4 linked regions of the Pelodiscus sinensis genome follow. The protein of the gene in region 2 purifies or fractionates together with the protein of the main gene of each other region. This does not show direct contact. Links are inferred from orthologs where the notes say so. Each region holds a gene or a part of one and is shown on either strand. Other genes may lie near its edges. The genes, in order: MGAT1, SLC39A4, AGPAT4 and VPS45.

Region 1 (7,550 bases), on a different chromosome or scaffold from region 2:
TTTTGATGTAAAAATGCAGTTGTTAAAGGCAGAGGAGACTGGCTTTTTAATTCAAGTCTTTTGTTCAAGCCCCGGATAACAGTGTCAAATTTGTAGATGAATACCAATTGCGTACTCTCGGTAATTGGCGAGTGAAATTCCTTTGTAGAAGAATGGCTACTTGTAAATCCACGATTGAAAGACCAGGCAGGCAAAAATCTTCCCCTATAGGTTTACGTGTGTTACCATTTCTAATGTCTGATTTGTGTGCGTTGCTTGAGGTTGGCAAAATGGCACATTCCCAACCTAGAGAGGAAGACACTCTGTCCCTTCCACTTTCTCTTGTCTCTGCTTCTCTGAAGAGTTAGAAACTCCAGTTATTGGACCATGCATCATCCATTTGTCTGGGACTCAGCCCCGTGGTGCCTCTCCTGACATTGGGTCTGAACCTCTTTAGCTACAAGGCTGCTTGGAAGTTCATGGAAAGAAGTCTGTTGCTTTCGGCGGGCAGCAGATTGGCCCTCAAAATGCATGTGATGATGGCTAAGGTTTTTGGGAAAGGGATGGATGATTTTGGATGCCAAGAATGAGACACCCCTTCTCCCCTGAAAGGCGCTTGATTTTCAGCAGGCCAGTGGTTAGGGCTTCCTCAAAAAATGGAATGTTTGAAAATCGCAAGCCGTGCGCCCCAAAATTACCAGATGGCCCTCAAAATCATGCATCTGTGGAGCCAGGCCAGGCAGGGAGCTGTCTTAGCAACCCCACGGCTCATCTGATCCCAGCACCCAGCATTCCACCGCCCAGTGCTGGGTCTCCTTGTGGAAGGGGGATCAGGTGAGCTGTGGGGTTTCTAAGGCAGCTCCCACCAGACGCATGATTTTGAAAACCCCTGGGCTAGGTGGCCCCTGGAGGAATCCAGCCCGCGGACCGGCATGGTCTTGTGGGTTGTCTTTGCGTCGTGCTCCACCCCAGCATGCGTAATGCTTCCTGAGCCAGGATCCCTCTTGACACCCTTCGAGTCGCTTCTCCAGCTGGCACAGGAAAAAAATGAATGCTCGCGGCCCGGCCCCGCGGAAAACTCGTGGGTCAGGGTTGTGCACGGCGAGCGTCTTTAATAAGACCCCGAGTCCTCTGTGGACGCATCCCTCAGCCGCGAGCGGGAGCCGAGGTGCTAACAGCGCCCGGTGCGCTGCCTCCCGGCACCTAATGAAGAACCCGGAGGCGACGGCACCCCCCAGTTGGGTCCTGACTTGGGGAGTGGGCAGGGGTGCGGCACTAAGTGGCAGCGCCGTGGCTTCCTCTGTTGCAGGCAGGGATTGGGTCTCTCCGCATGGAGCTGATGTGGGGCCAATGGAGATGAAGCTGCGGAGAGCCGTGGGCTCAGTTGCTGTGGGCCGAGAGGAGAAGGAGGGAGGTGAGATGCATAGCCCAGAAATAACCCGTCGGGGCCGAAGTCCTGCCCTCTGCCCGACGGATCCTTGGTTCGTTATACCCACACCTCCCTGCCCAACTTCACTGGCTAGCTAGTCCTGCAACCCACCCTGGAGTGAAGAAAGGAACTCAGGAGTCCGTGTGTGTGTGTGGGGGGGGGGGGGGGGGAAGGCTGAGCTCTAACTTCTAGGCATCGCTGCCGTGCACTAACGCCAGCGCCCTCAGCCCTGACTCACGCTGAGAACGGTCCCAGCTCGACTCGCCCCCATGGGAAGGGGCCACCCCTGCTCCATGGGCCGTATGGCTCGGGCTGGGGCCACCACGCCAGCGATGGTGCTGAGGGACAGGAGAAGAGCCCTGGAGTGGGGCGGGGGGCGGGAGATGGGGTACAGTGGGGGACCGTGGCCGTACTAAGAGGCTGGGGTCACTCCACCCCAGATGACTCTCCCTCACCCTAGATGGGGAAAAAAACCAATTTGCTACGGAGGGATCCCTGGGGGCACCGCAAGCCTCACCAGCTGAGTCCCTGCCCCTTGGGGAGGCTTCAGTGAGTCCCAGCCTCTCCCCGCTTCCAACTCCGACATCCATAAGGGCCCTGACTGCTCTCTCTCCCCTCCCTCCCCCTGCCCACAGCCCTATGCCATCAGGGACAGCTAGGGTGAACCGCACAAGAAAGAGCTTCCTGCATTCCCAGGGATGTGGGGCCGGCTTTCTCAGCGGTGCTACAGAGCTGGGGCAGCCCAAAGTGGTACTGTTCTCCTGTGCCCAGACCCCGGGGCTGGGGTAGGTCGGGGAGCAGGCACTGGGGCTGGGGATCCTAGCTCCTTCCATCCACTGTGCCTCTATCCGGCACCCTGGTCTCTCTCTGCCACTCGCTGTTTTCTCGTCCCTCTTTCTTTCCCTCCGGGTCTTCCTGTCCATCTACCGCTCTCCCTCTCCATCCTGCGACCCATCCCTGGCCTCTTCGAGCCATCCCGTATTGCTCTTTATCCATCCATCTCTCTGCCTTGACAATTCGCTTCTCTCTCTCTTTCGTTCTCATCCATCCCCTCCTCTCTCCAGCCCTCCTTGCTCTGTCCACCTCCGGCATCCATCGGCCTGCCCACAATCTTTTTCCATCCCGCCCCCTCTACCCATCTCTCTCCTCCCCATCCCTGAGATGTCTGATGTTCCTTCCCCGGTGGTCTCTGGCAGCGTTCCCCATAAGCTGGGCACTTGGGAGGCCCACTCCAGAGAGATTCCGCCCCACTGATTGGCAGAGCGCCCACAGCTCGGTTTGTGTTCCTGCTTGGGGTGCACATTGGCACATGCCTCGGTGCACATAAAAACGTATTCTGCACATGGCTGGAAAAGATTAGAGGCAACGTCGGTCTCTGGGCATCTAGGAGATCCTGCCATCTGAGCCAGGCTCAGCATTACTCCCATCCCTACCAACGCAGCCTGCCTCCAGGTACTTCATTGGGTCCACGTTAAAAAAATTGAACACATATGAAAAGGACAAATGATTTGTCCTTTTCATATGTGTTCAATTTTTTAAAAATTGTATCCTTTGGTATCTATGGTTGTGACTATTTTCTTCCACTATTTGATCTGAGGAAGTGGGTCTGGCCCACGAAAGCTCATCATCTAATAAACCATCTTGTTAGTCTTTAAAGTGCTACATAGTCCTGTCTTTTGTTTCGAAATTATGTGTTATTTTGAAATTTGGTGCTGTGTAGATGTGCCAAATTTCAAACTAGAATCGAATTAAGATATGCAATTTGCGTATCTTATTTCGAGTTGCGGATGCTGTGTAGACGCACCTTGAGGTGCTACAGAAGCACTCATTTTTTCACTGATATGACACACCACTTAAATGCACTCAATCTTAAACCTTAAGGCAAAGAAAAAAACCTGCCTTCTCTGATGTGCGATGTTTCTGAATTTGAAACAAAACTGGCCCTTTTTGCAGATCAGTTTCGTGAGAAAGACTTAACTCACTTTCCCATCTTCAACTTGCAAGTGACACAGCTGAGTGAATATGCATCTTTTTGGCCTGATTTTTTTACAGTGTACATCTCAGGGCTGAAAACCAAATTTTCTTCTCATTATCTAGATCCCTGAAGACGGTTCTTGAAGTTACTGAAAATCCATTTTCAGTTGAGGTAAAGGCGCACTCACTTTCAGCAGTGAGCTTTGGTGTCGAGAGGGCCACATTTGAAGAAGAGGTGATAGAACGGCAAATCAATAGTATTCTAAAAGCTAGGTATAAAGAAGAAGGACACTGAAACATTTTGGATGACCTATGTATAGGAAGACACGTACCCGGCATTATTGAAATGTGCCAAAAAAGTGCTAACTTGCTTTGGGTCTACATATGTCTGTGAAAGTTCATTCTCTTCCATGGGAATCATCAAGTCAAAACTGAGCACCTCTCTTACTGACAGACAACGGTCACACAATAATTATTTAGCGAGTTCCCAGGGGCTGAGATTTTTAAAAATTAAAATTTCATAAATATTAAAGCACATAATCAACATCAGGAGTCAAAATATACAACTATAGAAATAGCCTCATGCTGAATTCAAATGCATTTTCAAGCAGCATTTTTCTTAGTTTCCCTATCTGAAAATTTTGATTTTTACAGCTGGGAATATTTGTGTGGGGCTGTGAGCCTATAGTGAAATTGATATTGATACAAAGTCTTAAGAGGGATCGCCATATATATGCTAGCCTGTAAGGGTATGTCTACACTGCACCTGTGTGTTAAGCCCCCCCGCCTCCCCGCCCCCAAACCGGCCCGCGGGCCACAAACCCACGGCCCGCGGGCCGCATGTGGCCCGCGTGATGCCTCATCCGGTGGGCGGGCGGGATTAGTCCATTTAAGACTGTCCCCATTCCACCCGAATGGTTTGCTCCGCGGGGGAGCCGGGCCTCGAGCCCTGGGGAGGAGGGGGGAGGAGTTCCGAGTGTGGGCGTGGCTAGAATTCTCAACGGGCGGCGGCGGGAGGAGGAGGAGGAGGAGGAGGACCCCCCCCCTCCGCCCCGCCCTGGGGGCGTGGCGCGGGGAAGGTTCGAAAAGGGGGCGTGGCTCCCGGCCCTAAGGGGGGGAAGGGACACGCAAGGGGGCGTGGCCAGTGCCGGACGTGGGGGGGGGCGGGGAGGGAGCGACGCGGGGCGGGCTGAGCGGTTGCCATGGGTTCGCTTCCGGCGCTGGCAGGCGGAAGTGGCTGGAAAACCTGGGGGCTGATGCTGCTGTGGCTGAGGCGGCTTCTGGGTCAGTGGGGAAAGCGGGGGGAGGGGCAGGAGCCGCCTCGCGACCCCTCCCCCCCATATCTCCAGGCGGGGGGGGAGGGGGAAGGAGCTGCCCCCCCATATCTCCAGGCGGGGGGGGAGGGGGAAGGAGCTGCCCCCCCATATCTCCAGGCGGGAGGGGAGGGGGAAGGAGCTGCCCCCCCATATCTCCAGGCGGGGAGGGGAGGGGGAAGGAGCTGCCCCCCCATATCTCCAGGCGGGGGGGGAGGGGGAAGGAGCTGCCCCCCCATATCTCCAGGCGGGAGGGGAGGGGGAAGGAGCTGCCCCCCCATATCTCCAGGCGGGGAGGGGAGGGGGAAGGAGCTGCCCCCCCATATCTCCAGGCGGGGGGGGAGGGGGAAGGAGCTGCCCCCCCATATCTCCAGGCGGGAGGGGAGGGGGAAGGAGCTGCCCCCCCATATCTCCAGGCGGGGAGGGGAGGGGGAAGGAGCTGCCCCCCCATATCTCCAGGCGGGGAGGGGAGGGGGAAGGAGCTGCCCCCCCATATCTCCAGGCGGGGAGGGGAGGGGGAAGGAGCTGCCCCCCCATATCTCCAGGCGGGGGGGGAGGGGGAAGGAGCTGCCCCCCCATATCTCCAGGCGGGAGGGGAGGGGGAAGGAGCTGCCCCCCCATATCTCCAGGCGGGAGGGGAGGGGGAAGGAGCTGCCCCCCCATATCTCCAGGCGGGAGGGGAGGGGGAAGGAGCTGCCCCCCCATATCTCCAGGCGGGAGGGGAGGGGGAAGGAGCTGCCCCCCCATATCTCCAGGCGGGGGGGAGGGGGAAGGAGCTGCCCCCCCATATCTCCAGGCGGGGGGGGAGAGGGAAGGAGCTGCCCCCCCATATCTCCAGGCGGGGGGGGGAGGGGGAAGGAGCTGCCCCCCCATATCTCCAGGCGGGGGGGGAGGGGGAAGGAGCTGCCCCCCATATCTCCAGGCGGGGGGGGAGGGGGAAGGAGCTGCCCCCCCATATCTCCAGGCGGGAGGGGAGGGGGAAGGAGCTGCCCCCCCATATCTCCAGGCGGGGGGGGAGGGGGAAGGAGCTGCCCCCCCATATCTCCAGGCGGGGGGGGAGGGGGAAGGAGCTGCCCCCCCATATCTCCAGGCGGGGGGGGAGGGGGAAGGAGCTGCCCCCCATATCTCCAGGCGGGGGGGAGAGGGGGAAGGAGCTACCCCCCCATATCTCCAGGCAGGAGGGGAGGGGGAAGGAGCTGCCCCCCCATATCTCCAGGCGGGGGGGGGGAGGGGGAAGGAGCTGCCCCCCCATATCTCCAGGCGGGGGGGAGGGGGAAGGAGCTACCCCCCCATATCTCCAGGCGGGGGGGAGGGGGAAGGAGCTGCCCCCCCATATCTCCAGGCGGGGGGGGAGAGGGAAGGAGCTGCCCCCCCATATCTCCAGGCGGGGGGGGAGGGGGAAGGAGCTGCCCCCCCATATCTCCAGGCGGGGGGGAGGGGGAAGGAGCTGCCCCCCCATATCTCCGGGGGGGGGAGGGGGAAGGAGCTGCCCCCCCATATCTCCAGGCGGGGGGGAGGGGGAAGGAACTGCCCCCCATACCTCCAGGCGGGGGGGGAGGGGGAAGGAGCTGCCCCCCCATATCTCCAGGCGGGGAGGGGAGGGGGAAGGAGCTGCCCCCCCATATCTCCAGGCGGGGAGGGGAGGGGGAAGGAGCTGCCCCCCCATATCTCCAGGCGGGGAGGGGAGGGGGAAGGAGCTGCCCCCCCATATCTCCAGGCGGGAGGGGAGGGGGAAGGAGCTGCCCCCCCATATCTCCAGGCGGGGGGGGGAGGGGGAAGGAGCTGCCCCCCCATATCTCCAGGCGGGGGGGGAGGGGGAAGGAGCTGCCCCCCCATATCTCCAGGCGGGAGGGGAGGGGGAAGGAGCTGCCCCCCCATATCTCCAGGCGGGGGGGGAGGGGGAAGGAGCTGCCCCCCCATATCTCCAGGCGGGGGGGGAGGGGGAAGGAGCTGCCCCCCCATATCTCCAGGCGGGGGGGGAGGGGAAAGGAGCTGCCCCCCCATATCTCCAGGCGGGGGGAGGAGGAAGGAGCTGCCCCCCATATCTCCAGGCGGGGGGGGAGGGGGAAGGAGCTGCCCCCCCCATATCTCCAGGCGGGGGGGGGGAGGGGGAAGGAGCTGCCCCCCCATATCTCCAGGCGGGGGGAGGGAGAAGGAGCTGCCCCCCCATATCTCCAGGCGGGGGGGAGGGAGGGAAGGAGCTGCCCCCCTTATCTCCAGGTGGGGAAGGAGCTGCCCCCCCATCTCCAGGCGGGGGGGAGGGGGAAGGAGCTGCCCCCCTTATCTCCAGGTGGGGAAGGAGCTGCCCCCCCATCTCCAGGCGGGGGGGAGGGGGAAGGAGCTGCCCCCCTTATCTCCAGGTGGGGAAGGAGCTGCCCCCCCATATCTCCAGGTGGGGGGGGAGGGAGGGAAGGAGCTGCCCCCCTTATCTCCAGGTGGGGAAGGAGCTGCCCCCCCATCTCCAGGCGGGGGGGAGGGGGAAGGAGCTGCCCCCCCATCTCCAGGCGGGGGGGAGGGGGAAGGAGCTGCCCCCCTTATCTCCAGGTGGGGAAGGAGCTGCCCCCCCATCTCCAGGCGGGGGGGAGGGGGAAGGAGCTGCCCCCCTTATCTCCAGGTGGGGAAGGAGCTGCCCCCCCATATCTCCAGGTGGGGGGGGAGGGAGGGAAGGAGCTGCCCCCCTTATCTCCAGGTGGGGAAGGAGCTGCCCCCCCATCTCCAGGCGGGGGGGAGGGGGAAGGAGCTGCCCCCCCATCTCCAGGCGGGGGGGAGGGGGAAGGAGCTGCCCCCCTTATCTCCAGGTGGGGAAGGAGCTGCCCCCCCATCTCCAGGCGGGGGGGGGGGGGGAAGGAGCTGTC
Region 2 (8,010 bases):
GGGCCTGCCCCAGGGGGCAACACGCCCAGCCCAGGAGAGAGAAAGAGCAGGGCCCGGGCAGCAGCAGGGAAGAACGAGGCTGGTGACTCCGTTTCAGCTGCAGCCCCTGGCTGAGAAGAGGAACAGCCCAGCTGCAGGGGGAACCTTCCCCTGGCTCTAGTGCCGGCTGAGTCACCCAAGCAGGATGTCAGCAGCCCCGGGGACATTTAGAATCACAGACCCATAGAATCCCAGGGGGGGCAGAGCCCTCAGGAGGCATCGAGTGTAGCCCCCTGCCCAAGGCAGGACCAGCCCAACACCATCAGCCCAGCCAGGGCTTGGTCAAGCCGGGACTTTAAACCCTAGGGATGGAGACTCCACCCGCTCCCCAGGGAACCCAGCCCAGCGCTTCACCACCCGCCTAGGGAAAGAGTTTGTCTTAATCTCCAACCTAGACCTTCCCCACTGCAACCTGAGCCCGTTGCTCCCCGTTCTGCCCCCACTGAGAACAGCCTCTCGCCAGCCTCTCTGGAACCCCCCTGCAGGCAGCTGCCGGCTGCTCTCAAATCCCCCCTCACTCTTCTCTGATGCAGACTGAACAAACCCAACTCCCTCAGCCTCTCCTCATAGGTCATGTGCTCCAGTCCCCTCAGTATTTTGGTTGCTTCCGCTGGACCCTCTCCAATGCGTCCACATCCTTCCTGTAGTGGGGGGCCCAGAACTGGACACAATACTCCAGATGTGGCCTCCCCAGAGCCGAATAAAGGGGAATAATGACATCTCTGGATCTGCTGGCAATGCTCCTCCTAATGCACCTAATACGCCATTAGCCTTCTTGGCTACAAGGGCCCCTGTTGACTCCTATTCAGCTTCTCATCCACTGGAACCCCCAGGTCCTTTTCTGCAAAATTTCTGCTCAGCCAGTCGGTCCCCAGCCTGTACCAATGTTTGGGATTCTTCCATCCCAAGGGCAGGACTCTGCACTTGTCCTTGTTGAACCTACTCAGATTTCTTGTGGCCCAATCCTCTAATCTGTCGAGGTCACTCTGGGCCCTTCCCTGCCCTCCAGTGTATCTACCTCTCCCCCCAGCTTAGTGTCATCTGCAAACTTGCTGAGGGTGCCACCCATCCCCTCAGCCAGGTCATTCATAAAGATATTGAACCAAACCGGCCCTAGAACCGAACCTTGGGGCTCCGCTAGAAACCGACCGCCAGCCTGGCATGGAGCCGTTGATCACCCTTTCCTTTGGAAAGACGCTTCCGCTGCCCCTCTCCTGGGTCCTTGGGCTTCGGTGTCCGGCCCTACTCAGGCTCCACAGCCTCTTTGACATCCCTCAGCCTTGCTCCTGAGGCTGGCAGACAGCGCAGCATGAGTGGCTGCAGGCTCCCAATCCCCTTCCCCAGCTCGCTGGCGCTGGGCAGACGGGCCCTGTGTAGGGAGCCAGCTACCACCTGGACAGTGTCGGAGCTCTGCCAGGGAGCGCCGGAGAAGCATCGGCATGGGCTGCAGAGAAGCAGCTTAGAGCCTAAAGGGGGCTGTGGATGGTGCTCTCATGGCAGGACCCAGCACTGTCTGATCATCCCGACAGGTGTCTGTCTGACCTGCTCTTAAATATCTCCAGGGATGGAGATTCCACAACCTCCTCAGGCAAGTTATCCCAGTGTTTCACCACCCTGACAGGCAGGAAGTTTTCCCTAGTGTCCAACCTAAACCTCCCTTGCTGGGTTTAAGCCCATTGCTTCTTGTTCTATCCTCAGAGGCCACGGAGAACAATTTTTCTTCCTCCTCCTTTTAGATACTTGAAAACCGCTCTCATGTCCCTTCTCAGTCTTCTCCTTTCCAAACTAAACAAGCCCAATTCTTTCAGCCTTCCCTCATAGCTCATGTTCTCTGGACCTTCCATCATTCTTGTTGCTCTTCTCTGAACCTTCTCCAGTTTTTCCACATCTTTCCTGAAATGTGGTGCCCACAACTGGACTAATACTCCCGCTGAGACGCAGAGCAGAGCGGAAGAATGACGTCTTGTGTCTTGCTCACAGCACTCCGGTGACTGCATCCCGGAATCAGGTTTGCTTTTTTTGCCACAGCATCACACTGTTGACTCATATTCAGCTTGTGGTCCACTCTAACCCCTAGATCCCTTTCTGCAGGACTCCTTCCTAGACAGTCACTTCCCGTTCTGTGTGTGTGACACAGATTGTTCCTTCCTAAGTGGAGCACTTTGCATTTGTCCTTATTAAACTTCATCCTGTTTCCCTCTGGCCATTTCTCCGGTTTGTCCAGACCATGTTGAATTCTGACCCTCTCCTCCAAAGCACCTGCCACCCCTCGCAGCTTGGGATCATCCGCAAACTTTCTCTGGGCCAATATTGGAATCGCAGATGAAGACAGTGAACAGAGCTGGCCCCAGAACTGCCCCTGTGGATGCTGGATGCTTGTGAGAAAGCTGCTTATGCAAAGACCGCATCCTGTGAGGAGGAAGTTGTGGGAGCAGGAAGTGTGCTGTTTTGGTTTTAAAAGGATTAATGGAGGTTGCCTATCTCCTAGAACTGGAGAGTGACCTTGAATGGTCATTGAGTGCAGTCCCCTGCCTTCACAGCAGGACCAAGTACCATCCCTGACAAATTTTTGTCCCAAATGGCCTCCTCAAGGATTGAACTCACAACCCTGGGTTTAGCAGGCCAATGTTCAAACCACTGAGCTATCCCTCCCCCATGCCCCTAGCATCTTGGCATGCCCAGGTTGTGCTGCGCCGTCTCAGTGCCGCGCAGGAGCGAAGAGCATGTCCTGGCTCTTGGGAGTGCCCGGGAGGGACTGGACGGGGAGGAGACGTCTCTGCAGCCCCGGGTTCAGAGCGGCGCCTGCCAGGCAGAACCCAGAGCAGTTTGCTGGCGAGGTGGCCAGACCGGTGTGGCGGGGGCTGGGGCACAGGTTAAGCACCAGCTAAGCTCTCTCTTGCGGACGCAGAGTGGGGAGCATCCCACTAGAGCTGGGCTGGTGGATTCGCTCCCCTCCAAAACCCACAGCCAGGCCCGGTGGCTCCGTTTGGGGCGTCACGCCTGGCTGCTCCTGCCCCCAGGCCTTTCCCTGATGGGCCCACAGGGCGGCGGCGGCTCGCTGGGCCAGTGGCGCACCAGGCCGTGGGCGTCCACTGTCACGTGGCCTCGGGAGCGGGCGTCTGGCCCCCGCCCCTGCAGCCGGGGTGGGCAGAACGTGGCTCAAGACGAAAGAAGACTGAGTCAGGCTATTCAGCTCAGGGCCAGGGGCCCAGAGGGAAGGAACGGTGCAGGGCTCTCGAGTGGCCATTCCGACAAAGCACTCGGCCCTCGCCACAGCCATGGCCGCTGGCGTGTCTGGCGGCCTCGGTCCCGCCCTGCGCGTGGCTGTCACCCCGCACCGCTCAAAGCACAAGTCTCCTGCTCTGGCCCCTGCCTCACTACAGGTGGCTGGTCGCTTTCATCAGCGCCTGCATAATTTCCTCCTTCCTCTGCATGCCGGTGCTCGGCTGAGTTGTGATGCTGGGCGTCTGGCACTTGTGCTCTGGACTCACGGCCAGTGTGAGGCGGTGCCCTGGTGCCTGGCACTCTCTGGACTCACGGCCAGTGTGGGGCGGTGCCCTCGTGCCCGGCGCTGCCCTATTCCTGGCACTTGTGCCCTGGACTCACGGCCAGTGTGGGGCGGTGCCTGGGTGCCCAGGTGGCCGGTGCTGCCCTGCGCCTGGTGCTCGTGCTCCGCAATCGTGGCAGGCAGGGTTACATGAGGCTTCGCTGGGACAGCTCCGGTGCTGGGCTTATGCCCATTGGCATGTGCAGGCGTCTGTAACAGCCGATGGCCAAGTCCCCGTTCCTCGCATCCTGGGCTGTAACAATTCTGGCTTTGGGACCTCCTGGCAAGATGCGTCCCCTCCTGCTGCTGGCCCAGCCCAGCCGCCGGAGCGTGTTTCACTTTGGGCCTCCAGGAGGGCTGTGGTGCCGCCCCGCTGTCTGCCAGGCCTGCCCCGTGTGGGCCAGGCAGAGCCACTCCTCCGCCCTCCAGCAGGCGACTCGGAGGGTGCAGCTGGACCCACGGGGTGGGGCACTTCTCCTGTCCCCGTGCTTAGTGCTACTCCCCAGGGCTTCCGTCCCGAGGCTCCCGCTGCGCACCACACGGCCGAGCTGTAACGTGCAATCGTCTTCCTGGGCCAGCAGCTCCCTACAACAGCCCGGAGCAGCCCGTGTGCGTCAGGCAGGGAGACGGGGTCTGTGCCTCCCCTGCGGCCCCAGGGATGCTCCCCGAGGCTCAGCAGCAATTCCCTGTCCTGCATCGTTGCCCTGGCTGTGTCTGCACAATGGCTGGTCCCACCCGCTGCCCTGCACCCAGGGCACTAGCCAGCAGCGCCGCTGAGTGCAGGGTGTGCTAGGCAAGTGGGACTCGGTTAAACCCAGGGCCTACTCAGTCCATATGGCTACCTGGCCCCTCCTTCCAGGGACCCTGGGCCTGCCGGCTAGTTCCACTGATGGGGATGCATGGGAGCGCCTCCCAGCGGGAGAGTCAAGAATCTGCTGTAGGGTCTAGTGGTTAGAGCTGCCAGGGTTCTGTCCCAGCTTGGGGAGGGGAGCCAGGCCTACAGGTTAGAGCCACAGGAAGGATGAGTCAGGGGTTCCTGGGCCTGGGAGGGTAGTGAGGCCTAGGGGTTAGAGCAGGGGGGCTCTGGCATCAGGGATCCGAGTTCCCAGCCCCAGCGCTGCGCTGATTCAGAGCATGACCCTGCATGAGTCACTTCCCCGGAGACGGGGCCAGGGCCCGTGGCGGGGGCAGAGCGAAGAGCCCCGGCAGAACGCCCCCAGCTGGTGTCAGACCCTCTCCCTCGCCAGGGAAACGGGGCCGGTGGCCCCTGCGTCTGCCCCAGGCCAGGTTTCCCTTCCCCTGGAGGGGCGGACGAGCCGTCCGGGCTCCGGAGCCGGGGCTGGGACCGTGTTGGGCAACAGCCTCCCAGCAGGTCCTGCCGGCTCATTTCCTCCTGGCGGGGGCTGCTGTGCTGACGGTGCTGGCAGAGCAGAGCCCTGCCACGCCCTGGCGGGACTGGGGCTGGGCCGGCTGCCTGGGAGCCACCTTGCCCTGCCCTATCGCAGCAGGATCTGCAGAGCTGGCCGGGTTCGGAGGAATGGTTAACCCGAGGCAATCTCACCCGGAGCCAATCAGAGGCGGCTGCAGCAAATACCTGCTGGCTTAGAGCTGCTGCTCCCCACAGCTCGGGCTCTCTGGCCCCGGGGAGCCTGGCCAGCGCGGCCACGTCTCCCCAAGCCGGCGCGGCCCGCCTGGACGCAGCCATGGCTCTGCTGCTGGCCCTGGCCCTGCTCTGCCTGGGGGGGGCCGTGCGCCCGGGCCAAGGGGCGCCTGCCGAGGAGCAGGCGCTGCGGGACGTCGGGGCCCTGCTGGCGTCGGGCGAAGGCGCTCTGCCCCACGCTGCCCTGGACTCCCTCTTAAGTATCGCGGCGGCCCGTGTGCAGTGCCCCGCAGTGCCGTGTGGAAAGGTAACGCGCCGCCGGGCGCAGCCCGCTCCCCTCCTTCCTCTGCGGCTCGGGAGCAAAGCGGGGTCAAACTCCAGCCGGGCGGGAGGGGCCGCGGCAGCAGGAGGGCCAGGCTGCCAGGCGGGAGGCGCGCCCCGTCCGGGGGAGTCTGGGGGGCTGGACGCAATGGGGGGAGGTGACGGGAGGGGGCTCCGGCCGGAGGAGTGTCCCCCCCGGGGCGGGGGCGGCCTGGCGTGGTCAGGCCTCGCCTAGCACGTGCGGGCAGGGCCAGCCCCTGTGGCGTGGGAGGTGTCAGGATCCAGGCCGGCTCCCGCTCCTCACCTTTGCCATCACTGAACCCCTGCAAACACGGGACGTCTCCAGCGGACCCGGCCCCTCGGCCCCGTGTCCCGGGCAGGTTCCTCTGTCTCCGAAAGGCTCCAGCCCTGGGCGCTGGCGTCGGCAGGAGCAGGCCGCTCGTGCCCCTCGTGGGCAGAATCAGCCCAGACGGGCCAGCGACCAGCACCGGGGCTGGGCAAGCGCCAAGGGGCTGTCAGAGCAGAGCTGGCCCTGGTTGTGCACTGGTTGTGTGTGTAGCATATGTATGTGTGCAGTGCAAGGAGCGGGGTGTGTGCGCGTGTGTATCATGCGTGTGTGAGCAGTGCGAGGAGCGGGGTGTGTGCGCGTGTGTATCATGCGTGTGTGAGCAGTGCGGGGAGCGGGGTGTGTGTGCGTGTGTATCATGCGTGTGTGAGCAGTGCAAGGAGCGGGGTGTGTGTGCGTGTGTATCATGCGTGTGTGAGCAGTGCGAGGAGCGGGGTGTGTGTGCGTGTGTATCATGCGTGTGTGAGCAGTGCGGGGAGCGGGGTGTGTGTGCGTGTGTATCATGCGTGTGTGAGCAGTGCAAGGAGCGGGGTGTGTGTGCGTGTGTATCATGCGTGTGTGAGCAGTGCGGAGAGTGGGGTGTGTGTGCGTGTGTATCATGCGTGTGTGAGCAGTGCGAGGAGCGGGGTGTGTGCGCGTGTGTATCATGCGTGTGTGAGCAGTGCGGGGAGCGGGGTGTGTGTGCGTGTGTATCATGCGTGTGTGAGCAGTGCGAGGAGCGGGGTGTGTGCGCGTGTGTATCATGCGTGTGTGAGCAGTGCGAGGAGCGGGGTGTGTGCGCGTGTGTATCATGCGTGTGTGAGCAGTGCGAGGAGCGGGGTGTGTGCGCGTGTATCATGCGTGTGTGAGCAGTGCAGGGAGCGGGGTGTGTGCGTGTGTATCATGCGTGTGTGAGCAGTGCGAGGAGCGGGGTGTGTACGTGTGTATCATGCGTGTGTGAGCAGTGCGAGGAGCGGGGTGTGTGCGCGTGTATCATGCGTGTGTGAGCAGTGCGAGGAGCGGGGTGTGTGCGCATGTGTATCATGCGTGTGTGAGCAGTGCGAGGAGCGGGGTGTGTGCGCGTGTATCATGCGTGTGTGAGCAGTGCAGGGAGCGGGGTGTGTGCGTGTGTATCATGCGTGTGTGAGCAGTGCGAGGAGCGGGGTGTGTACGTGTGTATCATGCGTGTGTGAGCAGTGCGAGGAGCGGGGTGTGTACGTGTGTATCATGCGTGTGTGAGCAGTGTGGGGAGCGGGGTGTATGTGCGTGTGTATCATGCGTGTGTGAGCAGTGCGGGGAGCGGGGTGTGTGTGCGTGTGTAGCATGCGTGTGTGAGCAGTGCGGGGAGCGGGGCGTGTGTGCATGTGTATCATGCGTGTGTGAGCAGTGCAGGGAGCGGGGTGTGTGTGCGTGTGTATCATGCGTGTGTGAGCAGTGTGGGGAGCGGGGTGTGTGTGCGTGTGTAGCATGCGTGTGTGAGCAGTGCGGGGAGCGGGGTGTGTGTGTGTGTGTGTAGCATGTGTGTGTGAGCAGTGTGGGGAGCGAGGGGTGTATGTGTGTGTGTAGTATGTGTGAAGGAAGTGTGGGGAGCCGTATGTGTATATGTAGCATGCAGGGAGCAGTGCGAGTGTGGGTGGGTGCCATGCGGGGAGCAGTGAGTATATGTTTGTGTGTGCGAGCAGTACAGGGAACAGTGTGTGTGTGTTAGTGGGGGGGAGCAGTGTGTGTGTGTGTGTGTGTGTGTGTGCGAGCAGTACGGGGAGCAGTGTATAAGTGTGTGTGAGCAGTGTGGGTAGCCGTGTGGGGGGGGGAGCAGTGTGTGTGTGTGAGCAGTGTGGGGAGCTGTGTGTGTGTGTGTGTGTGTGTGAGCAGTGTGTGTGTGTGTGAGCAGTGTGGGGAGCTGTGTGTGTGTGTGTGTGTGTGTGTGAGCAGTGTGGGGAGCTGTGTGTGTGTGTGTGTGTGTGTGTGAGCAGTGTGGGGAGCCGTGGGGGGGGAGCAGTGTGTGCGTGCGTGTGTTGTGTAGAGTATGTGCGTATTGTGTGGGGTGGGTGTGTTACCCAGGCTTTGCACCGCGCCTGGCACAGTCGGTACCTCCAGCCTTGCTCGCCGGATAAGCACTGCCGACGAGGATACAGGCCAACGGCTCCCCTAGGGCAGGGCTCCCCTGGGACCGGTGGG
Region 3 (7,143 bases), on a different chromosome or scaffold from region 2:
CCTCTCCCCCACCCCATGGCTCCCCTGCCCCCTGCACACTTGTGAGTGGCAGCTGTGACACTCACCAGATGATCCCTCGCCAATCTCCGAGGAGACCCGTGACACATGGTGGCTGCTGTGCCGGGCTGGTGGGCTCTGGCTGCTGTCCTCCTCCTCTTCCTCCTCCTCCTCTGCATCTGTTGGCCGGACCACTGGGGTGGCCAGGGCTGAGTCCACCATGGCCTCCAGGGTCTCGGCCCCCTTGTAGGCCAGGATACTGTGCAGGTGGTGGTAGTGGGAGCAAGCAAGTGGCTCTGCCGCCCCCACTCTCGCTGGCCTGCACGTAGCTGAGCCGCAGGTCTTTCACCTTGGCCTGGACCTGTTCCAGGGTCTGGGCCGGGTGTCCTTGTGCGGCTAATGCCTGGGCCATGCAGGCAAATATGTCTGTGTTTCTCCTCCTGGATTTGGGATTATGGAGGGCCTCCTCCTGGACCTCGGCGTTGCCCCAGCATGGAGCCCGCCGCTTGGTTCCCCTGTGGGCCTGCTGGGTGCTCTGGGGTGGCTCCTGGGTGGGGCCTGAGGGACCTGGCTGTTGTTCAGCAGCAGCCATCGCTCCCTTTGGCAGCTCCAAGGGCTGCACGTGGCACACGGCTCCGCTGCACATCCACACTGCCCTCTTGTGCAAGAGTGCCTGCGCAAGAGAGCTTACACCTGTTAGAAAACAGCGTAACTCGTGCGCATTGCGTTCTCTCTTAGCACACCATACTGTACATTTTCTTGCACAAGAGCAGGCAGGCAGTGTAGACGCTCTGCAGATTCTTGCGCAAGAATGGCCAAAGTTGCGCAATAACCCGCCAGTGTAGACATAGCCCACAAGTCTCTCAACACAAACCAGAATAACCCAAACATGAAGCCTAGCTTATCTGTGGACCCAGTGTGAAGGTATGCAAACCATTAAATGCACAGCTTACAAGTTCTTTACCCTATTTTTATTCAGAATATTAGCAGGATGAATTGGATTCACAGTCTGTTACCCTGACATTTTTAGGTTCTCAGCATTTTTGGCTTTAAAAAATAAAACACATAAAATTACCAGCTACTAGTTTTTATTAAAAAGCTGGATAATAATTTTAGCTAAGCTGTATATTCACAAAAGCAATGCCACCCACCAGGCAAATGCAGTATTTTTTTCTCTGGCCAGATAACTGACTATTTTACAATGTGATATCCCCTATGACCCAGTGGTCAAATTCCAACCTGTTCCCATACATAGAGGGTTACTAAAGATTGTGTGCCACTTTTTGCAGAGCACTAAACCCGTAAGTTTCACTTTTTGTGTATATTTAATTGCATTTTTGAAATTGTAATAACAATGTAAGTGTACACTTACACTAAATTTTAAAGAAATTAGAAAAAAACATAGCATGATTTTGAACCTTAGTAAAACACTTTTCATTTCAAAGTCAGGAATACACAGAGAACTCATATGAACCCAAACCCAAGTTTTCCTCTCATTTACAATGGACTAAGCACATGAAAGTCAATGGGCTTTCTCTGGTATCAAAGAAAAGAGATTTGGGGTCTTGGTCTGTTCAATACATTTAAAAAAAATATTTGTTTATTTATTTTGCAACTCGTGTTCATTTTGGGGTGACTGATTATATTCCCTTGATATAACTGCCGCATTAGTTGTACCACAGTTATCAGAGGTGCAAATATCATCTTATTAAGCATGTACAGGTCTTGGAAATGCAAGACAAATAAATATGGGATGAGACAAAAACAAATGCACAGAAGAGAATGTTCTGGTCAGAATGAAACAAATCCTCATTTACTGTTTTGTACACACATGGGTAAACGCTTACTTGTTGAATCAAATCCTCTTTTGGATCATTTCACAGCTGAACAATGCTCTATAGTTTAAAGATTTGGACTAACAAATGCAAAGTTGTGCAGGCTAAGTGGATCTACTTATATTATTGTTGACAGGTTGAACATATTCATTTAGAAAGAAAACCAGAGCTTTCAAACAAACAAAAAAGCCAACCAAAACTTTAAAACAAAAATTCAGTACTAAGCACACAGTCTCTTCTTCACGTTGCTCTCAGGTTGTAGAGGTTATGGAATTCTTCTAAGTACAATGTGAAATGAATACAATGCATTTATTTCAATACATACCTATGTTTCATTCAAACCACTAATTATTTAGACACGATACAGCCCTCTTGATGTAGAAAGCATCTTCATGAAAGCACAGTAAATAGATGGTCACAAATGTCTGTTTCCAAGGCAACTCTATCCCTCCCCTACCCTCCCCCCTCCTCTAACCTCCTCTATTGTGATAGGGGAAAACCAAAATGAAAGTGGAGAGGAAACAAATGTGTGCTGCATCCTAGTAACTATCACTCCAAATCATGCAACAAATGCACAACTGTGAAAGAAAGAGAGATATTTATATTTAGGACACAGTCCATGGTATTTGTAGTTTCCATGGAAACACTGTGAAGAAAAGAAAAAGCATGTTGCATGACACAAAGGAAGCCAACATGCAACAGGAAAATTCTCGTTGACCCCATTCTTTTCCAAGTAAAATGATTAAATGTACTAACCCCGCCCCTCCTAAAACTAAGGTACTACACAAATGAAGAAAAAGGAAAAATAATCAGAGCAGTCCTTTCCTATAAGCCTGCAAACCTGATGCTCGCCTCTACCACACGCTGCTCACATAAACACACACCTCATTGTAGCCTGCTTCTTTCTGTCCTTTGATTCTCTGCACTCAATGTCTTTTTTTTTTTTAAATCAAGCCAAGTAAAGAAGAATACTTCTGAAAATGTAAAGTTCTTTGGAGGTAGCATGAATAATATCATATCACATACCTTGTGCCTGCCAGACCTTGACATATGTGCTTAGAAATCAGAGACAGAAAGGGAAAGAGAGACTCTAGTTGCCACTAGTTTGCATAAGCTGCCTGTAAGTCAGCCAACACTGGAAAGAAAGCCAGACTCCACCCTGGGGTGGTACCTTAAAAAAAAGTGGCTCTGAGCTGACGTTTCTCCCTACCACATGTCACTTCCTTTTAAAGCTACAATTCAGCAGTATGGACGAGATGGCTACTTACTGGTGTACTATCTATGACTCACCCCCTTCCCCACCAAGTAGTAGAAGGAAGTGGTTTACGTTTGAAAATACTGTCACAGAAACCTCCCGCTGAAATGCAAACAATAGCCTATTGTATATCATTTTTATTCTAGCTCTCTTGATCCTGTTGCTTCCATTTACAGAGAAAGCTTCATCTTTCTTCCTGTGCTAGCAGTGGTTTTAGTGTCATGCCCTAAATACCTTGGCTAAATTAGATCATTATTAATTGAAAAGGAATATGATCAATGTGCATTATGCAAAGCAATAACAGCATCTTTTCCTTCAAGTTACTAAGGAGCACAGGAGTTGCAACAATTGAGGCAGAAAAACAAATATACAGGTGGCTAAGACTTTTTTTAATATGATATTTTAAGTATAAGCATAGCTGATCTGATACCATTTTACTTTTTTAGCACACTGGGCATTTTTTTAAAGAGAACAATTGCTTCTAGTCATACTGTACTTGTTGCATCCTCACATGCTGATTAGAGGCTTTGTGTTAGAGCTAGAACATAGGAATTGAGCGCTTAATCCAATAAGAATTCTGGTGGCATAAATGTTTGGTGCCATGAAGAACCCTAAAGGAGCTAATGTTTTATAATGAGTGAATCTGAGACAGACTGACCAAATGGCCATATGATCAATATAAACATCTTATAGGACACACATGATGTCCAACAGAGATATCGGGGAGGAAACCCCCAGAATGCCTATTAGTTAAAAAATGGGGGAGACTAAACTAATCTGGGGATAACAAAAATATTCAGATGGCAGGTTTCCAAATACTGAATATTCTGACACACAATATTCACCATCTGTGGAACCAAAACATTTACTGAGAGTCTTTGACTGTTGAGTGGAAAGCAGATTTTATGAATGAACACAATGAGAAATACCAAGAGCACAGCAAAATGGTAACATGCAAAAGCAAAGCACGATTAACCATCACTGCAGAGTTCCAAACACCATGAGCTCAAACTGTAAAACACATAATACAGTCTTTAATTACAGGATCACAGCTAGAAAATTTACCTCACTCACCTGAAAATTATCTTTCAGGTAGGAGAATAAGTCTCTAAACTCCCTATGGATGGATTTTTCAGTCTCCCATACCGCAGGAAGTAGAGACAAACATTTTTGATTGTCTAGGGCTGACTCTCCAAACAACACCTCCCACTGAAGAGCCATGCTGGAGAATTGATTCCATTAACTGTCATATATGAATAAAACCTTGCATTAAAAATAACAGCACTGCCCAAGAGCAACAAGTAGTAACCTGCCTTCAGTAGATTAAGTATACGAACATTTTCCCATCAACTCTCCCTAAAGAAAAAAAATCCCGCATTACTATCGAAAATCAACCTCCCAATAGAAGAAAATGAAAAGCACAAGATGGGATGAATTTATGGACCCATCCTCCTACCAGAACATAAATATTCAGAGGAGATCATTTACTCATTCTTACGGTGGAGGATGGGTCTATAAATTCAGTAGCAATAGGATTTTTGTACCAGTACCCACCCTTACTTCCAGTAACTAATTGTTGGGTGGACTACAAGTGAGCTACATCATGCAGAACCCTCCTTCATCTTACTGAGGTTTATCATTCTTACACAATTTAGGGAACATATGCAGAGATGGCCAAGCTGCAGCCCTGCAAATTTGTTCACATGGACTATTGGATCTGTTAGCCCATGAAGACTGCCAGTGACTTCATGGACTGGCCTTTAATCTGGGTTGGAGACACTTTCCACTTGGTTTTATATGACTAGAAATTTTCCATCTAATAGATCCTGCCGCGGAGGGCCTGGAACCTTTGAGTCCACTAATCTTGTGATGTATTAGACATTATCCATAAGAAGACTCCAACTCTTGGCTCTTTTCACTTTTTGGGGGGATGTCAGAGAGCAGAGATGCAGCATAAGCAAGTGCTGCTGTGGCAAAAAAAAAAGAAAAAAGAAAAAAGAAAAAGAAGCAGCAGCAGCAAATACCGAAGCTCTGAGGCATTTCCGTAGATCCTGCAGAGGGCTGATTCCACCCTTTTGTCAAAGATATCTTTTGACAGCAAGGACAGTGTCCTTAACATGGGCTGATGAGGCTGCATCCATTTGAGGAAAAGCAGTGTGACTGATGGATGTTACTGAATTTTTTGGCTCATTTGATCGGATGCTTGGCCTTCATTGGATTTTCTCATTTCACCTTTGCAGCCTTAAGCAGGACAGCTGGGATGGGAACATAGAGGTGATTTTTACAGACTTTTGGAAACTATTCTCATGTGTTGCCTGTCCATTTGACTTCCCCTTCATTCACACTGCATTCTTTTTGACTGAATGCTTAGGGAGATAGCAAGAAAGGAACTGTTCTTCTCAAAATATACGTGGGAAAACAGTTCCGAGAACAAGAATTCTTGGTGAACATCTTGGGTTTCCTCTACTTTGGATTTTGAAAGAATACTCCCCTGTTCTAAGGAGAAGTGTCTAGACCAGGGGTGGGCAAAAGGGCCTCTGCAGGTCGATCCTGCCCACGGAGGCACTGCTGCTTCCCTGCCCCCAGGGCAGTCAAGGCCAGGGGGCAGGGGGAAGCACATGGAGTTTCCTCTGCCCTGCCCCTGTCCTGCAAGGAGCATGTGGCACTTAAAAGCACCATGTGCTCCTGGCAGGGCGGGAGGAGATTTCATGTGCACCCCTCCCATCCAAGCCCTGATTTTCATGGGTGCAGAAGGGGGAGCACGAAAAGTCTCCTCCCATTGCCAGAGGCACGGGCGCCTAGGGGAAACCTCGGAGGCGGAGACTTCACTCACTCCCCCACCACCAGACCAATCATGGTCTGTGGGTGGGGAAGCAGGCAAGTGTCCTGGCCCTGCCCCTTCGGGTGTGACCCAGGGCCATTTCAAAAATTTCTGAAATGGCTCCCGGTAAAAAATTATTGTCCATCCTGGTCTAGACATAAAGGATTTCTTAGCTTTATGTCTGCATTAGTGACACTAACTCCACAAAGGAAGACTAGATGGACAGAAGGCTGACAATTTGAAGCCATGAGAGTCCAAGGCAAAACACTCGTGCCTATGTTGGCTACCCTTATGTATTCCCTTGTGTCTGGTCACCTCATATGGAGAGGAGAAAGAGGTGGTGGTGATGGAGAAAACAGGTCATCGGATGAGTTGTTTTTCCTACACCTGCTTGCAGATCTAGCGCTACATTTTTAGTCCTTTTCCCTGCCTCACCTGACATCCAGACAAGAGGAGAGCAAAGGAGATAAGAAATAACCTGTATGCCTGCATTTATCATGTGTCCTGGTTTTTTTTTCTTCCTTTGGGAGGACTGTAAGATAGCTGCTGAGGTGAAAGTGCCCAGAGTCATTTTAAAAAGGCAGCCTGGGGAATGTGATTCTAGCTCAAAAATAGCCACTGTGACCCTGCTATGACAAAAGAGGGAGCATTAGCGGGATGCTGATTTCTTTTGGGACCCCTAAGGAATGAAGGAGGCGCTCTGACTGTAGCATGCACACTGGCAGGTAAGCCCCCCATGGCAGTGCTTTGTCAGGAAGAGGGAAAGTGATGGGAGTTTGGGGAGTTTAAAGTGTGTTGATTCTGCTGACGGGGGCTCCTGGGGTTTCCACAGTTTTGCCAAAGACAGGGCCCAGGCTGCAGACTGAGCCCCATTATATTGGTCGGTCCCATTTTTCAGCAGCTTGACTTTCTTGGCCTTTCTTTTATTCACAGCCACCTGCTGAAGGAGGCTGGCAGCCTGCTTTCTAATCACAGCAGCACCACACAAGGAAAGCAAAAGGAACACTTTTCCACCTTTGATACAGTCGGCCAAAGGTGCTGAGCCGAGTACAGACAGAGTCAGATTGAGGGGTAGGCAATATAGGAATGTGCAAATCCAATTGGTGGGGACCCCTAACTACATTCCAGCTGGTTTGATTCAGGAATGAGTGCTAGACTGGATCCACATCACTGTGGAGGAGGAACAGCACTAGCTGACCCGCTACCATACATCTATACTGCTTCCTTCTTGTGCA
Region 4 (7,401 bases), on a different chromosome or scaffold from region 2:
GTGGCCCTGGGGCTAGGCCGGAAGGGACAGGGCCTAATCTGGAAGGGGAGGGGCTAGAATGCTTCTGGGCTTCTCCAGCCCCTTTGCCCCCCCTTCCCACTAGGCACCCATGCCCCTGGCAAGGTGGGAAAAGGCTTCACACGCTGTTCTAGCACCTTGGGGTTACAGAGAATAACTTGGAAACATGAATCTTAAAGGTTCTAAAACTAGATAGAAAATAACAGGCTTAAAATGTATTATTTTTTTAAATATCATGAGTTTTTGGAACCTGGCTCATGTTGTTTGTGGATTTGTAGTTAGCAATAGTACTCCAAAACCAACTGGAACTGTTTTTTCTTCTTTCAGCTTCGACAAAAGGCTGAGCATGTTCCCTAAAAAGTTACAGGGAATTGTTGATAGCTTTCAGTAACTAAATCATTTCATGGATGAAAACATTGTCACCTTTTGCAAAACTACCTGGAAATTTACCAGCCCAGCAATGTTCCCTATAATCTTTTTCATCCATGTGTGGATTTTTCCATCCACGTGAGGAATAAATTTTTTATGTTCACTAAAATATGTACAAATGTGCCCTGCTAGTAGAAACAAACAAAAAGCCTAGCTGTGGGGGCTCTACTAATCAGCTGAGCAACATTTGAATCTTTCCTGAGCGGCTTCACAAGCCCACTGCTTACAGGGAATACGACAGCCCAGGTACAAAATCCACTGGTCACACTTTATAATGGGGCCATGTCAGAAGGAGGAGAGTAGGGATGTAAAAAGTTAAATGTTAGGAAATGTTTAAGTGATTAACCAGTTAACTGACTAAGCAGGATCTGGGCTGGGGACAACTCCAGGCCAGCTGATGCAGCCCCCAGCTCACAGGGCTGCTGGGGCTGGCTGCCAGCTCTCAGACCCACACTGGGGCTGCTACAGGCTCTCAGCTCCCAACCCCACTGGAGCAGCCCCTATCTGCAGTGGACCTGGGCTCCCCACAGTCAGCGGCTGTTCCAACCCTGCAGGGTACCAAGGCTCCCCATGGACAGAGGCTGTTCCAACCCTGCAGGGTACCCAGGCTCCCCATGGACAGAGGCTGTTCCAACCCTGCAGGGTACCCAGGCTGCCCATGGACAGAGGCTGTTCCAACCCTGCAGGGTACCCAGGCTGCCCATGGACAGAGGCTGCTCTGGACAGCAGACTGGCATCTGCCTGTGGGGCACCCAGGCTCCAGCTGCCAGAACAGCCATATCCACAGCAGGCCCACTGCAGGGCTGAAGCAGCTCCCTGCCCATTGTAGGTGGGGAACTGTTCTAGCCCCCACCAATTATCAGTTAACCGAAACTAGTAAACCTTTCACATCCCTTGGGGAGACAAGGGAAGTGTTTGAGGGGTGTCTTTGTATGTGTTTGTTATTCACTCCAGGTGAGTGGATAAGGTAAAGTTTGTACAGCTATCAAACTAAGGCATTGATCCTGAAAAACATAAACTTGTGCTTAATTTTATACACATTAGTCGTCCCAGTGAATTCGTTAGGACTGCTCATCAGAAGCATAATGCCAAATGTGGGGAAAAGTATTTGCAGGATCATAGCCTGAGATATCAGCATTAGCTGCTCTGTTAGTACATAGGCTCAGGGCAGAGCAAATGCCAATGCTGACAGCAGCTGCCTTTAAGAAGTAGCTCACCTTTGTTGGTCGCAAAAAACAGATTGCTTTCAAGTGTTTCATGGTCTCTCTGTTCAAAGAATCAATCCGCTCAAAGAGGTAAACTTCCTTCTGAAGGATTTCCGACTGCGTATACACCATGCTCACAATGCTGGTCTGCAGGGAGAAAGAAAGAGAAGACAAGTTATCTCTACTTGCTGGGGCAGACTCGTGAGACAAGGGAGTGTTGACTAATGGTTAGTACACAGAACTGGGATTCATGATTCCTAGGTTCAGTTCCTCTTGGCTTTGCCACTGGGTTGCTGTGTGACCCCGGATAAATCATTTCACCTTTTGTGCCTCAATTCCCTAAACAGGTCATTGCAGTTTTATGCATTTAGGTAGATGGGCAGCAGCCCTCAGTGCAGTGGGCTAACACTTCAAAGCATGACTTCACCTGCATTCATGGAGTGGGTGTGGCAGATTGATTGGCATTTGAGAACAGCCATCACACACAATCCTCCTCACCACATTCTCCAACTGCTCCATGTCCCATTAAGGAGGCAACACAGAACTGCTTGCAGCCTGCTCTCTAGCCCAGCACTGGCAGGATACTTCCCCAAGAGCAAACTGCTTAGGAAGGGACACCAAGGTTGCAAATTATTAGAGCCAAGATGAGGAAAAGAGGGAGATCTAGGAAGCAGTGTTCCGTTTAAGCTGAGTGCTTGGACAGCCACCCAGGAGAGATTCAGTTGCCTCCCAGCTGATTAGCAGAGCACCCACAGCCAGCAGCACATGTTTCTATTAGTGGTGCACATCCACACATGCCTCAGTGCACATAAAATTTATTCCCCATACAGATGAAAAAAATTGGAACACTGTTAGGAAGCCATGATCATTTCTCTTGCTCCCTGGGCAGAGCGAGCACTAGGAATAGCACAGAAATATTAATCTTCCTAAAACAGCTACAACTCTATTACTTTTCTACCAGCACAAAATAAAGACTGCAGCCTGTGGTCAGGGTGGAAGCCACTGTTACCCCAATAGCTCAGGAAAGACCAAAATACAGAGGCAGAGGCGATTCCATAGAATCTGGAAGGGGTCTTGAGAGGCAGGACCAAACACCATGGTAAATACAGAATCCTTAGGGGCCTAGCTCACCGTTTCTTTATCCATCAAGAGGACCTTCATCCCGGGCCCACTGTCTTCAATCATCTTGGACACATATTGCTTCACTGCAAAGACCACATTCATTGTGGCAAGAGATTGCGCTCCCCACCGACCCGTCTGCAAGGGGTAATATTATGCTAGGCTGCACTGAGCAACCCAGCCCTCCTTTCTCCTGGGCAGCTCGCGGCTTCCTGCCTCTCTGTTTCCTCCTGTTGCAGCCCTGGGAGTTGTAGTTCACAAGGAGGTGGACTGTCGCGCCAAGCAGCGCCCATCCCGTTTCGTGGGAAGGCGTTGCAACTACAAGTCCCAGCATCCACAGCATCAATGAGTTTTTTCCCCCTTGCAGCTGGAGGGGGGCGTGTTTCAATGCACTTCACGCTATGGAGCTGTCAAGTTTTCTCTTGTGGGAGGGGGGGGGCACCACATTGGCGGGGTAACTTTGGAGTAGCGTTTAAATGAGCACCTTTTGCAGTGAAGCATTTTGTTGCATGATTCCCTGGACTGCAGAAAATCTCTTTCAATGATCCTATCACCGCTTGACAGCTGGCTTCATTATGGTAGTTTTTGTCCCCTTTTGCCTTGAATCTTCAGAATCTAAACTTTATTTTTAGAAAATGTTCCTAGGTCTTTGGTTGCAAAGAAAACCTTCCAAACCGACACCGCAGAGGCTGTTCTAAACGTTGCAACAAGAAAAACAATTGCACCGAATCCCAATTGACAATTCTCCCACAAGCCTTAAGTTTGTTTAGTTTTGCCCTAAACTGCTCTAGTTTGAGACTTGAGATCCCGCACAGTTTTTGATGCTCGAGCTGCAAGAAAACAGCGTGGCATGCCTAATACCTTGAGGGGAGAAAGACACATGCTATGCTGGCTGTTGTGTGCTTTATGCACAGTTGCAGGCTTAAGTAAAGCTGATGGATTGGCTAGACACCCTTATTTCAGGTCAAATGGAAGAACAATTAAATGCCCTTTTGGGTAATGATTACTGGAAATGGTAGGAAGCCAGATCCCATTGATAATGGGCTGCATAGGAGGGAAGATCAGAAGCTACACTCTATGCATTTCCTTGGAAAAGATGCAAACACAGACTAGGGTTGCGGCTGTGTGCATGTGTGAAAGGCAAAAAGCAAGAGAGGCTGTGGTCAGCATGGCCCTGAGACAAAGCCAAGAGACAGAGGGTTCTTTTGGACACAGTACTTGAGGGAAAAGCAGACCAGCATTTCCGAGAAAGGAAACTGCCTGCTATTGTTTGTTTTTATTGTGTTTAGAGAAACAGGGTGTTGTGTCCGTTTTTTGTAAATAAACAGGATGACACCAAAGAAATATTTGACTCGTAGTTCTCTTCTTAACAGAAACAACCTGCCAAAGTCCTGAATATTGACGAGGTGTTTTTCGGGTCAAAACAGGTTAATTAAAGAGCTTTGACTGCTGTGGAGGAACAACCTTGAACTTCTAGTGACTCACACTGGAAAGAGAGAGGAAGGATTTGCAGGATCAAGTTCTATAAGCCAAATTTTGGCTGGAAAGCTCAAAACGGGCTCTTGGGAGAATAACTGAGGGTAGCAGTTGGCTGTATGGAATAGTGTTCCATCATCTCTCAGATGGAAGGCAGCAGTCAACTGCAACATGCTGACAATAACTGGGTGAATTTCTGCCAAGAATAAATGGGCAATTTCCTCTGCTAAAGAAACCACAAGATCTTAGAGACAAAAGACTTCTCCTCCACAAGCCCCCCCCCACTGTATACTCAATTTATGCCCCCCCACACACACACATGGGAAAGATGGAGGGGAGGGTGTCAATCAGTCATATTTTGCCACAGAAAAAATTCCCTGTGAAGTACTGGAATTAAAAGTGCCCATTTGCAATGGCTGTGTCAGTCTGAAGGTGACATGGCTGAGCTATTTGGTTTTCTTGATGGTGACTGCAGCATCTCCTGCACAGCTTAGAACTTCAGCACAATTGTTCCTCTGCTGAATATTTTGTTTGGCTTTGTGTAGGAAACTCTGGTTATTGCCTTAAAGCAGCGGTGGGAAACCTCAAGCCCTGGGGCCAGATGCGGCCCCTGGCTTGCCCAGATCCGCCCTCCCCCCCCCAGCATTGGGGAGCCTGCACTGGTGCTCCAGCCCCCCTGCTGCCCCACAGGGCTGGTGCACCCAGAATCTACTAGGCTGGGCCCCCCTCAGCTCTGGTGGGCAAGGGGAATGTGGGGAGGGTCTTTCTCCTCAGCTGGGCGCCATGTCAGTAAGGTGGATTTTTGTTTGTCTGTTTTTGTTTTTTGCCCTGCCCTATTCAGCAACCCAATTGAGCCACCTCTCAGTAAGGGTGCTGCCTTCCCTGCTCCTGCCCTCGGTGTATTTTCTCCCATAGCTCTTTCCAGGCCACCAGTTGCTCATGTGACCCCCCAGTATCCTCATGCTTGCTCCTGTGTTCCCAGTGTCACGCCCTCTCCAAGCTGCGCCTGTGCCCCCAGTGCCAATCTTGCCATGTGTTCTTATCCTCCCCTTAGTACCTAATCCTGCCACCCATTGCTGTCCCTGCCAGCTGTTCCTATCCTCCCCTCCAGTGCCAATCCCTCCACCAAATGTTGCTTCTGCCCCACAGGCCACACCTGCCTTGCCCCAATGCCGATCCCCCCCCCCCACGCTGCTCCTGCCTGCCCCCCAATACCACGCCCCTTCCACCTCGGTGCCAAGGCCCCGTCTGCACCCCCCCTTTCCAAGTTCCACCTGTCCCTGTGCCAATATCCCGTGGCTCCTGCCACCCGATACCAGTCCTCTGCCAATCCCCCCCCCAATATCTTCTCTGCCCCCTCACAGCCAAGCCACCTCAGGCTGCTCATGCCTGTCATGCCAATACCTGCACTCCTCCTGCCCCCCCGTGCCAATACCCCTCCTGCTGCTGCCCCCTGTGCCAGTAACCCTACTGCTCCTGCCCCCCCGTGCCAATACCCCTCCTGCTCCTGCCCCCCCGTGCCAATACCCCTCCTGCCCCCCCGTGCCAATACCCCTCCTGCCCCCTGTGCCAGTAACCCTACTGCTCCTGCCCCCCCGTGCCAATACCCCTCCTGCTCCTGCCCCCTATGCCAATACCCCTCCTGCTCCTGCCCCCCGTGCCAATACCCCTCCTGCTGCTGCCCCCTGTGCCAATACCCCTCCTGCTCCTGCCCCCCGTGCCAATACCCCTCCTGCTGCTGCCCCCTGTGCCAATACCCCTCCTGCTCCTGCCCCCCCGTGCCAATACCCCTCCTGCTGCTGCCCCCTGTGCCAGTAACCCTCCTGCTCCTGCCCCCCGTGCCCGTAACCCTACTGCTCCTGCCCCCTGTGCCAATACCCCTCCTGCTCCTGCCCCCTGTGCCAATACCCCTCCTGCTGCTGCCCCCCGTGCCAGTAACCCTCCTGCTCCTGCCCCCTGTGCCAGTAACCCTCCTGCTCCTGCCCCCTGTGCCAATACCCCTCCTGCTCCTGCCCCCTGTGCCAGTAACCCTCCTGCTCCTGCCCCCTGTGCCAATACCCCTCCTGCTCCTGCCCCCTGTGCCAGTAACCCTCCTGCTCCTGCCCCCCTGTGCCAATACCCCTCCTGCTCCTGCCCCCCGTGCCAATACCCCTCCTGCTCCTGCCCCCCCCCCCCCCGTGCCAAATCTCAGGCTGTTCCTGCCCCTCTTGCTAAACTCCAACCCGCTCCCCCCCCCCCCGAACTCTCGCTTCCTCCGGCCGCCTCGCCCGCCCCCCCCCCAGCAGCTCCAGTCCGGGCCGTTGGAACCGGCGTCTCGCGCGCGGAGCGGCCGTTGGAGACCGCGAGCCGGCAGCTGGGCCGGGTGGGCGCGGGGCGCGGGGGGCGGGGGGCGGGACTGTGGCTGGGGGTGAATATGGGGAGTTTCACTGTGGCCCCCAAATCCTTAGGGTGCGTGTGGGGAGCCCCCAAATCCTTAGGGTGCGTGTGGGGAGCCCCCAAATCCTTAGGGTGCGTGTGGGGAGCCCCCAAGTCCCTGGGGTACATGGGGAGCCCCCAAGTCTCTGTGGTGCGTGTGTGGAGCCCCCAAGTCCTTGGGGTACATGGGGAGCCCCCAAATCCCTAGGGTGCGTGTGGGGAGCCCCCAAGTCTCTGTGGTGCGTGTGGGGAGCCCCCAAGTCCCTGGGGTACATGGGAAGCCCCCAAGTCTCTGTGGTGCGTGTGGGGAGCCCCCAAGTCCCTGGGGTACATGGGAAGCCCCCAAGTCTCTGTGGTGCGTGTGGGGAGCCCCCAAGTCTCTGGGGTACATGGGAAGCCCCCAAATCCCTAGGGTGCGTGTGGGGAGCCCCCAAGTCTCTGGGGTACATGGGGAGCTGTGAGGAATCCCCAAAATCTCGGAGGTGGGTGTATGGGGAGCCCCCAAATTCCAGGAGGATTGGGGGAAGCTGTGGGAAGCCCCCAGTTTTGTGGGGTGCATGGTGACTGGGGATTTCACTCTGGCCCCCCAAATTCCTGGTGAATGGGAGAGCTGTCAGGGCCTCCCAAATTCAGGGAGTAAATGGAGGGATGTGAGGCCCTCCTCAAATTCCTGGGGTAAGTGGGGCAGTTGTGGGGGGTGGGGTGGTTGCCATCGCTCCCTAGGAGATAAGTAGAGTGT

The links.
Region 1: the proteins of SLC39A4 (region 2) and MGAT1 purify together in Homo sapiens (affinity purification with mass spectrometry; 3 studies listed by BioGRID and IntAct, with this or other methods). This does not show direct contact. The link is inferred for Pelodiscus sinensis from reciprocal best matches to the Homo sapiens genes SLC39A4 and MGAT1.
Region 3: the proteins of SLC39A4 (region 2) and AGPAT4 purify together in Homo sapiens (affinity purification with mass spectrometry; 3 studies listed by BioGRID and IntAct, with this or other methods). This does not show direct contact. The link is inferred for Pelodiscus sinensis from reciprocal best matches to the Homo sapiens genes SLC39A4 and AGPAT4.
Region 4: the proteins of SLC39A4 (region 2) and VPS45 purify together in Homo sapiens (affinity purification with mass spectrometry; 3 studies listed by BioGRID and IntAct, counting the BioPlex papers as one, with this or other methods). This does not show direct contact. The link is inferred for Pelodiscus sinensis from reciprocal best matches to the Homo sapiens genes SLC39A4 and VPS45.

What each region holds. Positions count from the first base shown.
Region 1 is NC_134742.1:11,051,771-11,059,320, reverse strand, and holds the start of MGAT1 (alpha-1,3-mannosyl-glycoprotein 2-beta-N-acetylglucosaminyltransferase), read left to right. Parts: upstream 1-4,534; 5' UTR 4,535-4,666; intron 4,667-7,550. UniProt on the Homo sapiens protein: Initiates complex N-linked carbohydrate formation. Essential for the conversion of high-mannose to hybrid and complex N-glycans.
Region 2 is NC_134712.1:897,257-905,266, reverse strand, and holds the start of SLC39A4 (zinc transporter ZIP4), read left to right. Parts: upstream 1-5,010; 5' UTR 5,011-5,289; coding exon 5,290-5,493; intron 5,494-8,010. UniProt on the Homo sapiens protein: Selective transporter that mediates the uptake of Zn(2+). Plays an essential role for dietary zinc uptake from small intestine. The Zn(2+) uniporter activity is regulated by zinc availability.
Region 3 is NC_134713.1:114,253,324-114,260,466, forward strand, and holds the start of AGPAT4 (1-acyl-sn-glycerol-3-phosphate acyltransferase delta), read right to left. Parts: upstream 3,015-7,143; 5' UTR 2,859-3,014; intron 1-2,858. UniProt on the Homo sapiens protein: Converts 1-acyl-sn-glycerol-3-phosphate (lysophosphatidic acid or LPA) into 1,2-diacyl-sn-glycerol-3-phosphate (phosphatidic acid or PA) by incorporating an acyl moiety at the sn-2 position of the glycerol backbone.
Region 4 is NC_134734.1:20,470,142-20,477,542, reverse strand, and holds the start of VPS45 (vacuolar protein sorting-associated protein 45), read right to left. Parts: upstream 3,012-7,401; 5' UTR 2,877-3,011; coding exon 2,784-2,876; intron 1,800-2,783; coding exon 1,665-1,799; intron 1-1,664. UniProt on the Homo sapiens protein: May play a role in vesicle-mediated protein trafficking from the Golgi stack through the trans-Golgi network.